Linked DNA regions of Oreochromis niloticus. The protein of the gene in region 1 purifies or fractionates together with the protein of each later gene. This does not show direct contact. Links are inferred from orthologs where the notes say so. Each region holds a gene or a part of one and is shown in the gene's direction. Other genes may lie near its edges.

The links.
Region 2: the proteins of cdc26 (region 1) and anapc13 purify together in Homo sapiens (affinity purification with mass spectrometry; 4 studies listed by BioGRID and IntAct, counting the BioPlex papers as one, with this or other methods). This does not show direct contact. The link is inferred for Oreochromis niloticus from reciprocal best matches to the Homo sapiens genes CDC26 and ANAPC13.

Annotation. Positions count from the first base shown.
Region 1 is NC_031972.2:38,211,297-38,218,477, reverse strand, and holds cdc26 (anaphase-promoting complex subunit CDC26), read left to right. Parts: upstream 1-3,158; 5' UTR 3,159-3,285; intron 3,286-3,297; exon of another isoform or gene 3,298-3,491; intron 3,492-4,701; 5' UTR 4,702-4,719; coding exon 4,720-4,800; intron 4,801-4,925; coding exon 4,926-5,138; 3' UTR 5,139-5,166; downstream 5,167-7,181. Other genes in the region: tyrosine-protein kinase Fer, read right to left, coding at 7,033-7,169. UniProt on the Homo sapiens protein: Component of the anaphase promoting complex/cyclosome (APC/C), a cell cycle-regulated E3 ubiquitin ligase that controls progression through mitosis and the G1 phase of the cell cycle.
Region 2 is NC_031972.2:64,183,835-64,191,402, reverse strand, and holds anapc13 (anaphase-promoting complex subunit 13), read left to right. Parts: upstream 1-2,502; 5' UTR 2,503-2,657; coding exon 2,658-2,756; intron 2,757-6,396; coding exon 6,397-6,522; 3' UTR 6,523-6,764; downstream 6,765-7,568. Other genes in the region: pierce2 (uncharacterized protein C15orf65), read right to left, coding at 601-906; lathosterol oxidase, read right to left, coding at 7,236-7,505. UniProt on the Homo sapiens protein: Component of the anaphase promoting complex/cyclosome (APC/C), a cell cycle-regulated E3 ubiquitin ligase that controls progression through mitosis and the G1 phase of the cell cycle.

The DNA of each region.
Region 1 (7,181 bases):
TGCTGTAAGTTCCTGCTCAGCTTCACTTGATGCTGTCGGTCAGACAGAATGACACGCTCACAATGATCAGCATCTGTTACAATGGTGAAATGATCTTAATACACCTGCTGACATGTTAATCTCACCACAGAGCTCCACCTCACTGATCTCCAGGTGTGGGTCACAGACAGGTGTTGCACCTGAGGCATGGATTTCCTCTCATCCAGGTAACTTCAGGTTATGCTGGGTTTCTGTACTATTAAGGTCGGAGACTTCCTCCTCATGCAACTCACTGTTGTAACTGATGGGATTTACCCCAGGTTAGAGATCAACAGGTATGAAATCACACCTACTGACCAATCACTATTCCTGGATGATCCCTCAGAGCTCTGCAGGGAGAGTTGCAGGGTGTTTTTCCCTGATCGTCAGTAGTACAAACCGGATTCCAAAAAAGTTGGGACACTAAACAAATTGTGAATAAAAACTGAATGCAATGATGTGGAGATGGCAAATGTCAACATTTTATTCAGAATAGAACATAAATCACGGAACAAAAGTTGAAACTGAGAAAATTTATCATCTGAAGGGAAAAATATGGTGATTCAAAATGTCTTGGTGTCAACAAATCCCAAAAAAGTTGGGACAAGGCCATTTTCACCACTGTGTGGCATCTCCCGTCTGGGGACCGAGGAGACCAGTTTCTCAAGTTTAGCAATAGGAATGCTCTCCCATTCGTGTCTAATACAGGCCTCTAACTGTTCAATCGTCTTGGGCCTTCTTTGTCGCACTTTCCTCTTTATGATGCGCCAAATGTTCAAAAAAGATCTGGACTGCAGACTGGCCATTTCAGTACCCGGATCCTTCTCCTACGCAGCCATGATGTTGTGATTGATGCAGAATGTGGTCTGGCATTATCTTGTTGAAAAATGCAGGGTCTTCCCTGAAAGAGATGACGTCTGGATGGGAGCATATGTTGTTCTAGAACCTGAATATATTTTTCTGCATTGATGGTGCCTTTCCAGACATGCAAGCTGCCCATGCCACACGCACTCATGCAACCCCATACCATCAGAGACGCAGGCTTCTGAACTGAGCGTTGATATCAACTTGGGTTTCTGCGCAACATTGTGGGAATTGGTGATCCTCTACCCATCTTGGCTTCTGAGAGACACTGCCACTCTGAGAAGCTCTTTTTATACCCAATCATGCTGCCAATTAACCTAATTAGTGTTAATTGGTCTTCCAGCTCTTCATTATGCTCAAATTTACTTTTTCCAGCCTCTTATTGCTACTTGTCCCAACTTTTTGGGGATTTGTTGACACCGTGAAATTTTGAATCAACATATTTTTCCTTTAAACTGATACATTTTCTTGGATTAAACTTTTGATCTGTCACCTACGTTCTATTCTGAATGGAATATTGACATTTGCCATCTCCACATCATTGCATTCACTTTTTATTTACAATTTGTTTAGTGTCCCAACTTTTTTGGAATCCGGTTTGTAAACACTCAGTTTTATTCTTTTCTAAGCATCAATATCTGAGCCTAAAGCCCCTTTTCCATTAGTACGACTGGTTTTCCATAACAATCGAGTACCACCTGATCTGTGTGATCGTCGTCACAGCAACGACGCCGAGTTTCCTGTGAAGTAATTAATAACCAACACGAATGCTACAACAAAGGTGGACATGGAGGCGACGATATACCTGCTGCTCGGTCTCTGGCTTTCAATTAGACTCAGGGAACGGGGCATTGTTTTTTGTAGCCATTTCATTTCGTTGCCTGGTTTCAATAATGGCGTTTTTGATTTCATGAACAAGACGCTTTCATGACTCATCGAGTGGTACCACTGAGCAGCCAATCAGTGGCATGCAGTTTGACGACGTCACATTTAAGTACCTGCTTGGAACCCCAGCCCAGCAGGTATTATAAAAGTACCTGGTACCAGGTACTATGACCTGATGGAAAACCCTTGAAACCGTGGCGAGTACTAATGGGAAAAGGGCTTAAAACACCTGCGCTGTCCCTGCTGACGTCAGGTCAAGTCAACTGAGAGAAAAACACTGTGTTAACGTTTCTGGATTAAATTATGTTAAGAGTCCACGTCTCACGACCCACAAGGATCTGTGTGATGGCCACACTCAGAGCTGTTCCAAACACCAATGAAAGGAGCTTCAATGCTTCCTTTACTGAACAGATGAGACACTGGAGCATCCTTTATGAAAGGGAAGGAGCGACAGACTTATCTGACTGTTCATGAAAACAATCATATAAAAACCAAAGTGGAGCAGAGCATGAAAATGTTCATCATAACTTTTCCATTTCATCCATAAGCTGCTGATATATTCATAGTTTTTAACAGAAGCTGATAAACTCACAGCTGAACTCAGAACATCAGACTGCTGGAGAACTACCTCCTGTTGAGTTGTTACTGCATGAAGAACAGATTTACATAAACACTCTAAACATTAAGATCTCTATGAGCTGCTCACTAAGTTTTAGCTTGTGAATATTCATCCAGTTGTAGTACACTGTGTACCAGAGTTGCGCCTCTTTCAACGTTTAAGGCATCTTCAGTAAATCCAGCAGACTTTTAACCACCATCAGTACATCTGAGCCTGAATCTTTGTTCTTTAAAACTCCACGCTGGGTTTTTTTTAACAGGCAGCTGACCTGGCACAACAAAGGCCTTCGCAGAATCAGGCTGAGAACATGCTGTGTTGAATTCAAATTGTATTTGTAGTCCATCCTCTGAACTTTTGAGTTTCAACACCGCGGACATGTTTACAGGCGCCGCTCTAGGTGACCTCTGACCCCGTCCCCGTGTTAGGGTCAATGATAACGAAAACAGAGATTCGTAGTTCAGACCTCTAAGCCTCCTCCTGCAGCTCTGCACCGATCAGTAATCGGTAACTCCTCACTGTTTCTCACCTGTGAGTGTTTCAGGTAAAGCTGTGCAGTCAGCGGAGTCAGCGCGACCCCGGAGCCTCTTCGAGGGCTGAGTGGCGGTAACACGCCGGAGTACGAGCTAACGGATGAGGGGGTAGAGCACAGTACGGCTGATCTACGCTTGGACGTTTGCCTCACCTGTGCAGTTGAACGCAGCGGCTCAGAGTGCCGTTAAACCGTTGAATGAGACATACTTACCGGAGGAAACGAACGACGCGCCTACGCGGAGCTTCGTGACCCGGAAGTTCTGAAGTGTCTCCGGCTCAGAGGTTGCACACTTCCGGTGGACACAGCAGCTGCAGAAAATAAACAGAGAGAGAAACGGCGGGAAAGAGCATTACAACTCGTATATCAGGTACCTGCACACCTGTTCACACTGAGGGTATCCGCGAGGACTGTCCGTTACCGGTCACTGTAACGTCACTGCGACTTCACTTTAGCGCAGCTTAGCTTAGCTTAGCTTAGTTTAGTTTAGTTTAGCTTAGCTTCTGTGAAATCCATCTGCGTGCGCACAGTGCGCATGAGTGGCGACTTAAGGAGCGGAAAGGTCAGGGGTCAGAGGTGAGACTGTTATAGCCAAGGTATGTCAGCAGCCAGTCAGATGAGACCTTTAAAGGTGTCTTTATAACCTTCAGGGCATCCTTTAGAAAAGCAAGCGAGCTAATGACTGAGTGGTGATCAGTCGCAGGAGATATTGCTCCAATTGATCATTGAATCACGAAGTGACTTCTGTGCAGGAATAGGTGTTCTCATGGTTTTTCACAGTTTTTCAGGCTGCTGGTTCTTTTCTGGTGTTTCCTTCTGCTGCCATCACAACAGCAGACCCATAGTACCATCCACACTCATTTGACTGACCAATCTGAGAGCAGATCATGCTACTGGTTCCTGTCTAAACGGCAGGTGTAGTTTAGTTTCTATTGCTTTAGAAGCAGCTGGATGCCCTGAGCTCCGCCCTGAGGCCCATACCCCGGGTATCTCTCGGTTACCCTGACGTCAATAATCAGGAGGAGACTTCAGGAGTCAGTGTTGCCGTGGTGATAAGTTACCTGGACTCCTGCTGTGGCTTTATATCAATACGTTCATCATCAGGATCAAACACAGACATCAAACAGTGTGATCAGTGATTCTGATAACAAATATCAGGAAACATTTTTTAGATCTGATCGATCCTAATTATTGATCTGATGGAAACGATAACTGATACTGATTGCTGTTATTTATCAGATTTCAGAATAAATTAAAGCTTCTGTGTCTGAGCAGAAATAAATGATTTATTGATCCTTTAACCTTCATCACTTGACTTTTCTCCTTCCTCTGAAAACTTTTGAAGTCAACCTGCTCAATATAGGCATCATCATGACAACAGGAGTTGTGGTCTTCTAAGGTTTTATTTTGAAATTACAGGCGGCTGCTACGGCCTCATGATATTCACAGTAAAAGCACAACAGCTTGTTTCTTTTTGTGCCACCATCAACTTTAGAGGCTGTAAAGATAACATAACATAAGATAAGATAAACCTTTATTAGTCCCACACATTGGAAATCTTTTGGTCACAAAAGCATCTGGAAACAGGAGGGGTGACTTCAATAGAAGCGTGTGATATTTTATTTTGAAAAGGTTCAGGAAATGTGTGCAGTAAATCATATTCATCAGTTTTATAGAACATTGAGCTTGGAGGTGAATCATTTTCATCAGTTAGGATGTCAAAAAGCAAACAGATACTCTGTTGTAATCTGAGTACTCAATCGATATATTGATCATCTGCTTTCAGCGTGGACACAAACTGAAAATGTTGAGGAGGAAACCGACTCGTCTAGAGCTTAAGATCGACGACACTGAGGAGTTCGAGAGCGTCAAGAAGGAGCTCGAGGTCTTCTCACTTTAGTACCAATCAATCAGTAACAGTCAATGAGAATGAATAACAATCAGTAACATCTGAGACTTTAAAGGAAGTAAACTGCAAACAGGACATTATCAGGTTTTCTTTTTCTTTAGGCCAGAAAACGTCAGCGAGAGGAGGCAGAGTCGGGAGGTGGAGTGGGTGGGGGCTCTGTAATTGGTGTTGATGTCATTGGGGGTGGAGCCTCTGCCTCCGCATCGTCCTCTACAGCCACATCAAGGGCAGAGCTTATCAATGAGCGAATCGGCTACAAGCCCCACCCCAAACCGGCGACCCTGCCAACCTTATTTGGAAGTTTACAGTTTTAATGATGAATAAAGTTTGAGCAAAAAAATCTTTGGAGTATCATTTTTTTTTACATGAGCAAACATAAACAATGTCAGAGTGAATCGGAACTGTAAGAAAAACATCGTGACCAATACAGGTGCTGTGTTGTACAGCGGTGAGGTGCCAAATTATGTTTATGGGGAGGCACAACTTTAGACTCATATGTATTCACAGTGACACGAGGCCGTCTCTGGTGCTGTTTAAGAGTTTACATTTTTTGCTCGATTATCATTCAGTGTACAATCCACTAAAAAAAATGTTTTTTTCCAGTCTGGAATCATTTTGATATTAAAATGCTAAATAGGGTCAATATTTTTCTTTCCCGTTTCCTCTTTTAACTCAGATGAGAACTGAGCAATTAAGTTCCAATTGCTTTTTTTTCAAATGTATTAACATTATTTTATTTGCACATAAATGTGTCACATACAACACCAGCACTAACATTGCACATTTTTCACTTATACTTTCTCGTAAATTCTGCATTTGCATCATCTTTTTCTTACAATCAACTTAATTTAAATAAACACACTTCTCTTTAATTCAGTTAGCACTTTGTAAACAGGACCATTCATCACTGATTTGATGTCCAGAATAAACCTAGTTCAGACCCTCTCCACCCTCTTCATCCAGGTTACCTGCAATGTTTTTTAAATCCAGCAGATGTTGCTCTTGAGCAACACATCACCACAGTGTATCAGGCATCATCTACCCATCATTAGGGTTCAGATCTTTACTCCTTAACTCACCTGCTTAAAGTCTGTATAGAGGCATGGCCTCTTTGGCTGATAGGTGAATAGCAACACAGTGGTGTTGCTGTAAATGCTAAACTACACCTCTGGACAGCATTTGTGCTGTTGCAGCATTTTGAATGGACATCAAACACAGACTTATTTTCATACAGTTTATTTTCATAATAAAGGTACAACAATAATATTTTATAAAGACGATTAGTGTCGGAACTCAGAAAAACTTGTATTTACAGTAACAGTCAGTAGGTGGAGCTCTCAGCTCTGACGTCCAAGAAGTGATGCTTACCAAACACTACTCACAGTTCTTTTAGTGTGAACACATGGCAACCAGAAAATATACAAAGTGCTGGTGATAAAAATCCAAACTGTTTGGTCAAAGAAACTTTCTGGGGAAAAAAACCAAAAATAACCTTGTGGGCGTGGTCTGTGTGATGAAACTGTGCATCATGCGCTATTAACAAATTAGCAGTGATGTGCAGAGAAACCTGGCCCCCTAAAAATAAAGACGTAAAAATTTTTATTTTTTAGTGTTTTTAGTTTTTGTTGGAACACATTTTTGTTTTGTTCGCGTTGGTGTTTCCAATTAAGTTTAAACTGATTTCAATGACATATGGGGCTCAGTTATGTTTCCTGAGACAACATCGACAACAAGCGGTTTCTGTCTTTTAGATCTTTAAGATTTTAAGATTTTCCACACTAAAAGCTTCTTCAGATTAATGGCAGAAATAAAAAAAATAAATTAAATAAAACAGATTTAGTGTTCAGAGCTGATGGTCAAAGGGAAGGATGTGTGGCCGTTGTAACAGAAGGGGATTTCACATCATTTCAACTAAAACATAAAAATATTTGAGTTTATTAAAAAAAAAAAAAGCTTGCACAAACATTTTAGCAGCTTCTGTTTGTTTGTAGTGTTGTTATTGATTCAGTGTTTGTTTACTCTGTTTGTTTATCATTTAGTGTAGATCGATCGATCAATTACTGATTCAGTTTCTTGACTCAAGGCTGGCATCCTTCCTGTAATGCAGTGTTGTGTGTTTTGATCTCGGAGTCTGCGATTGGTGATCTTAGACTTTAAGGGAGTGTCCTCAGATAGGCCACACCCACCACTGTGTCTGTGATAACCTCATCACTTCTTCTTAATAGCGGCAAGGTCACGCTGCAGCTCGGAGAACTTGGGCCGGTCCTCGGGGCTGTACTGCCAGCAGCGCTGCATCACTTTGTACACATCATCAGGGCAACGTTGAGGGCACGCCATCCTGTAACCTAGCAACCAGG
Region 2 (7,568 bases), about 26 Mb from region 1:
GAAATATATTAATTAATTATTTTATTTAAAAAAGGAAATTGATTGTGCATCACAAAGTTCAAAGAATTAAAGAAATGGTACGCTACACCTGAGTCCAGAACAGCAGAGGGGAACTATAAGACTTGTAACCTTTAAATTTGACCCCCTTTCTCCATCTAATGGCAGCGAAAATGAACAAATTTCATTCGTTCAGCCTGAAACATTTACTAAAGTGATCCCACCCCCACCTTCAAAAAACGAAAGGAAAAACAAATATTACATTTAATATATTTTTAAAAATATGTTACTAACTAATTAGATGGTTTTAAACCCGCCAGTGTGAGTCAGATCAAAGAATTTCTGTATTTCTATACTGACAATGGCGACAGAGTTCAAGTGTTTTTTACTCTCTGAAACACCTATGCGTTTTTAATTCATCTGAGGTTCAAAATAATATATACCTGTAATATTAACAGCATGTAGGAACCAAAACATAAAAACACACACATGCTAAACAATATAGTTTAATTTCATACATGTGCACATATTGAATACTGCAGTCGTTACATTTGAGATGTATGCTTTTTCGGGTTTTTTTAAAAGTCATGTGCTGCAAAGCAGTTAGTCACACACCCTGCTACGGTCCAAGGATGTATTAAAGGAGTAGTTCCGATACATCCCGGTCTTCCTCAGCTCTTCGGTGAATCTTTGTGATTTGGGGTGGAAAGTGCACGGAGAGCTTTCAAAGGTTGGAGGGAGGCGACCATAGTCGGCAGATGTGGTCTTATACATGATGCTTTCGAGCTTTGTTCCCGCTGCAGACATCAGACCTTTTGCTTGTGGAGTTATCACGCAGGTGAAAACTGGGTTTCCAGGACTGGTTGATGTTTTGGCTTCTTCTGCCTGCTGCTCTGGAGAGACTGGCATTGCTGATCTTCTATTAAAAAAGGAGGGGGAAACGATTTAGAAGATTATTTACACATTTACATTAGGTGTATATGGACTGACTAATGGTCGATGGAGAGTTGCATGTTATTAGTAGTGGTTTTAGCATGGTATTAGTTTCACACGGATTTAACATTAGATATATTTCGGTAATTACAATTAAATTATTTTCGAGCATAGAGCGGCCCAGCTCTAATTCATGTCTATTCATTTCTTTTAACTTCACTATCTGTCTAGCGCTAAATTTCTCACCACTGGATTTTTTTTCTTGACTGAAGCGTTGCTGTTTCCAAACTGCGATGTGATCCATATAATTACCTTAAACTCAATAACGCAACAAAATGCACCGACTGGTCACGGGTTGAAGACAGAGAAACATGTGGTTACCATGGCAATGACGAGCCAGGCGCGGACTAGTGGCTTGACCTCACATAATCTCACGAGACTTTCAAAGAAAGCGCGAGAGGACGGGGCTCCGACTCTTTTGTACCGAAAAAAAGACTCTCTGTCATCAGCAGAAAAATTATAGCTACTGTCAGAAATCGTCCCTGGCAAAAAAGAAAAAAAAAAAAAACGTTAAAAACTTCCCTATATTTCCAAACTTTGGTTAAAATCTACCTTAAAATATTTAATAGTATCCCCCAGCTCGCTAATCTAATCATTAACGTTCAAAAATGAGCACTATTTTCCTTCAGATACCTTAAATACAGCATCACCTTACTCCTCTCTTTAAATATCTCTCTGAAATCATACAAGAGTCCCATATGTCAGATGTAATGCGGCCAACTGCGTCCTCTCAGACATGCTCTGGACAGTCTCACACAAGCAAACACTAATCAGAGTAAACCAAGTTATAACACAACATAAAGAGATCTGATTAGAAGACTGAGAAGAAGAAAAATATAGATTAGATGTGAAAAGCAGGTTTTTTTTCTTTGCTGTCAGAGATAAAAATCAGACAGTCTGGCAGTCAAAGAAAGGAAGACAGAAAAAACAACAACAAGAAACCAAAAGAAACCACAGTGTGTGGTCACTGTTTGATATTGCATGGTCTTAAGTGCAAAATGTTCATTGGAGAAAGAGTGACGGTGTGTCTCACTCACCAAAATAGAGAACATACCACAACCCATGGGGCACTAAATAACCATAGACACATACCACACACCAAACAAATTCCCCACGTGTGGGACTAATAAAGGTTATCTTATCTTATCTTAAAGACACACATGCATGCAAGTGATAGAAGACAGAGACATGAAACTCAACTAATCATCACTTTAAATATGTGGGAGGACTGTAACAGAGCAAGAACTTGACTGGTGACTGACTATTTTCTGCATACAGTTTTTGGGTCCCAATGATCAGTGAAGATAAAACTCTAAAACAGCCATTAGGCCTGATGGGCTAAACCTGCCTTCAGGTGGCATACAAGGCTGTATACTGTGGAGTATAAATGCCATGTAGCAGTCTAAATGTTGCTGTTGTGTAAGTTCACATATTTGGACAAATTGTATTGTATCTCCTGCTAGTAAACCTCGTTAGATTCGTATTTTCCACTGCACGTAAAGGCATCATACACTGCGTCATCAGCACGTGACAACTGGCTACGTAGAATTACTGCGACTGTTCCTCTCAAACAGCAACGGAGTTGTTCGCGGACGTAAATCCGTGTTACTGTTGCTCCCCTGTTGTTGTTGAGGCCAATTGGCAGCCGGCTGTGTCTCGGCGGGAGGATGGACAGTGAAATCCAACGGGACGGGAGAGTCCTGGATCTCACCGATGATGCCTGGAGGGAAGACAGGCTGCCGTACGAAGACGTCACCATTCCTTTGGTAAAGTCTTTGGTTAATGTTAATGCTGAGGTTAACGTCAACAAGGACCAATGACTACAGAAAGCAGAAATGTTTTTGCAGGATGTTCCCGAGCAGTGCCGTTCATGAGAGGACACTCCATAATATCTAGCTTTTTACTTAATGTCAATGACGCAGATTAGATTAGATCTTTATTAATCCCTCGGGTGGGTTCCTCCGGGAAATTCAATTTCCAGTAGCAGAGCACCGACAGAAGTTACATATTACAGAGCTGTAATATAAAATAGAGGGGAATGAGAGAATATGAACATAAGCGTAAATATAGCATTTATACACATATGGTTGGGGGGGGATTGCTTTGGTATACTTCTCTTTCCTATTCTGGGCTTACAGAAGTGACATGCGCATGCTTACCTGCTTTGTCAAAAACAAACTATATACACTCATTAGATACACCTGGCCAAGGTTAAAGCCTTCAGAACATCTTTGATTCTTCACAGCAAACATTCAACAAGGTGCCTGAGACATTTCTGAGATGTTGAACCATGTTGACATGGTAGCATCACACAGTTGCTGTTGATTTGGCCGTCCATGATCCAAATCTCGTACTTGTACTACATCCCAAAGGCGGTCATTTGCGTGCCGTGACCATATCGTGTTCAAGAAACAAGTTTAATTATTTGATCTTTGCAACGTTGAGGGTTATCCTGCTAAAACTATTCTGCTATCACTAGATGGTTACACTGTGATCATAAAGGGATGGGCGTGGTCAAAATAATACTCATGAAGTTAGGCTGCGGCATTAAATGCTGCTCATTTGGTATTAAGACGATAAAAACATTTCCCACACCCATAAACATAAACTACAGTCTTCCTACACTACTTACACTTTATTCACTTTTAGTCACTTGCAGTTATTTATTCAACTTCAGTCACTTTAATTTTAAAACTGTGTAATTTTAAAACTGTATATACTGTATATTCTGTGTATTTATTATTTCACTCCTATTGCCTGTTCTTATTGTCCTTATCTTCAATGTATGCTGCTCGGTTGTTTGTTAATTGCCCCTTGGGGATAAATAAAGTCTTCTGATTCTGATTCTGATTAAGAGGTCCAAAGTGTGCCAAGAACAGATCTCCCACACACTGCACCACCAGGGGCCTGTTCTTCGTACCTCGCTAAGTAAGTTAGCCGGATTTGAATGTTGACGATTTCGCGTGATCTTGGATCGTTCGGTTCTCCGAAGCTCATCCGAGACTTGCTGTCATAGCAACAGATCCGTAAGCGTAAACCTGCTCGGGAGCAGGCTTACTTTATGTAAACAGGATTAGATCGCGGCCACTCAGGTATGTCCGCTGCAGTTATACGAAAGCAACAACGATATTTCTCCACTGTTTTTCCATAAATAAATATTATCAGTGTAACTAAAGATAATGCAGTATTTGATTCTGTTATTGATTCCATACAGATACATACAGATCATTTCCTTAAAAAAGGGAAATGTACTATTAATCATGCTATTACATGTATTTGATTATTTCAGATGTAATTCATATGTTAGAGTAGTAATAGTAAATTACTTCGTGTAATCAAGATGAGAGACCACGGCTATAAAAGCGAAGGTGGATTTGGGAAGTCCGTCGCAGCCATGTCCTGTCCGTTTGTACGCGAGCAAGGAAGGTGCAAGATTGATAAGGAGAGTTTCCAGAATTCAGCGGATATTGCGGGATAGACAGGATCCTTTAGCTCAGCGCGACGGTGTGCTCATAGAGAGATATCGACTTTCCCGTGAGGGTATTATTTTCTTTCTCTCTCTCTCTCTCTCTCTCTCTCTCTCTCTCTCTCTCTCTCTCTCTCTCTCTCTATATATATATATATATATATATATATATATATATATATATATATATATATATATATATGTATATATATATGTATATGTATATGTATATATATATATATATATATATATATATATATGTGTATGTGTATATATGTATATGTATATATATATATATATATATATATATATGTGTATGTGTATATATATATATATATATATATATATATATATATATATATATATATATATATATATATATATATATATGTATATGTATGTATATATATATATATATATATATATATATATATGTATATGTATGTATATATATATATATATATATATCCCAACTTACTGTGCATGCTTCAGTAAGTTGATGGAGTGTTATGTAAAACTACACACACAAAAACCCACAATGTCAATAAATGTCACAGTACAAAAAGGGGTGTGACGAGGGGGTGCAGGACCACCACCTGTCTTTATTTGCTCTGCCCTTTTCTTGGTTGCTGTTATAAACAAACAAACAGATTATTCCAGGGTCTCTTTTCAAGAGACTAAAAGCAATATAAGTGATAAATATTACCATTCTGTGGAATATTCTTATATTTCACTTTTACTTGTTCCCATGTTCTAGTGGGTCCTGTTGTGGCTCTAATGTGAAAGAGGATATGATGTAATATAATATAATGTGGTATAATATAATATCACATGATATAATGTCATATCATGGATCACTTACGAGTTTAATTTGTCAGCAACTTTCTGCCAGCCCTCTCTCCTTGCTTTTGCAGCCTTTGCAGTGTTCCCCTGCGTTTTAATTAAACTCTGAAACTCCTGATATCCCTCAATCAAGAGTTCTTGGTCTGCTGCCGTGAAATACTGAGCGCGCTCCTTCGACATCTTCGCCGACCAATCACAGGGTTGCCGATCAATGTTTCTACTATCGATGCGTAGCCCCTTTTAAGCCACCCAGTGATCTCAGATTACTTCATCCAGCTGTACTAATCGTCAACAACAGGTGTGTTCGGAGAACCGGATTAGCGAGCTCAAAGTTAGCGCGATGATTTGATCTTGGATGTGTCATTTGATCTTGGATGTAGTAAGCGAGGTACGAAGAACAGGCCCCAGCAGCCTGAACATTGATACAAGGCAGGATGGACCCATGCTGTCATGTTGTTTAGGTCAAATTCAGACCCTACCATATGAATGTTCCAGGAGAAATTGGGACTCATCAAAGCAGGAAACATTTTTCTAGTCTTCTGGTGTCAAAGTTTCATGAGCCTGTGTGAATTGTGGCTTTAGTTTCCTGTTCTTAGTTGACCGGAGCGGCACCCGGTGTGGTCTTCTGCCACCGTAGTCCGTCTGCTTCGAGGTGTGTTGTGTTGTGCATTCAAAGCTCTGCGTGCTTGGATTGCTGTCGCCTTCCTATCAGCTCGAAGCAGTCTGCACATTCTCCTCTGATCTCTAACATCAACAAGACATTTTCACCCATTTTTATTTTACCTTAAACACAAGTCACGGTTTTGTGGGAAAATCCCAGCAGATCACCAGTTTCTGATGCTCAGTTTGGACTTCAGCCAGCTGTATTGATACAGTCTTTGAGTTGCTGCCATGTGATTTGCTGATTAGATTTTTGCATTAATTAGCAGTTGAACAGGTGTACCTAATGAAGTGGCTGGTGAGTGTATCGATCATGCTGTTTTGGTTTAAGCTCTGTATTTTCCCCCATCAAATATTCTTGAAACCATCACAGTGTTGATCAAAGTGTCTTTTTCTTTCTTTTTTAATTCCATCTTCTTGTTTCCGGTTTGTTGCAGAGCGAGTTGCCTGAGGCTGAGCAGGACAACGGGGGATCGACAGAGTCTGTGAAAGAGCAAGAGATGAAGTGGACGGACCTCGCCCTGCAGAGTTTACATGAGAACACACCGAGCACCGGAAGCTGAAAGACTAACACAGAATCGAACTGTACAAATAAAATGCACAGACGTGGTGCGCACTGTGTCAATTTTGATACACAAATGTGCCGTTTCTTCTCGGCGCGTTGGCATTTTACACTTGCTGGTGAACTATCCATCACTCTTATTATAAAACATAAAAACATTGTTTATACTTTATGAAACTGATCAATTTGAGCAAATATAGTCCTCCTGTTTGTGTGCATTTATTAAACCACAGCTCTTATTTCTCCAGCGTTATATTGAGGAACTCTGGCTTTGAACAGATCCAACCTCCTGAGTTTGTAACAAAATCACCTTTACCCATGCAGTAATACCATAACGAGCTTGCAGGTAGTCTGGCCACTAGATGTCGCTGTACTATAAAAGCAGCCAAATTAATGGGGAAAAAGGATTGCTATTATGCTTAAAACACATCGATTAAACTTTCAGTTTTCTGCTACAGTTGTGTGTAACACCAGAATCTGTGCTTGTTACGTTCATACCAGTCGTGCTACTTGACCTTAATGTTACTGTTGCTAATATACAGCGTGTTATTTTACTATGCTGTACAGTTTTCATCTTCTTTCTCAGCCTGGGTAGTATCTAGCTAGGGAATCTGCATGTTTTGTACCAGCTGCCTCTTCCTTCTGCCTTAGATCATTGGTAGCATAACAGCCTGTTAATGTCCAGAGATGGCTCTCTGCTCTGAGCGTCCATCATCACTGTGTCTGTGCTGCTTCTGTCGTCAGCTTGCGAATCTGGTCACGGGGCCCCTTCCCCAGCAGCGCCGATGGGTGTCGGTACGAGCCTCCCAGGCGATCCCAGAGTGTGAAGTATTGTCCGTAATTGTAGTTGAAGTACAGGTGATGATCAACATGGTGAGCGGCACCGTTAATCAGAAATATCAGCGGGCCTGGAAGGCGGTAGTCTCCATCATGGATGGAAATGGTCCAGATGTTGACGAAGACAAAGAGGGAGAGGTAAACCACCTGTAATGTAAAATAACTCAAATGTCAGCCGAAGCATGTCACAGTTTGAAGACAACGGTGCAC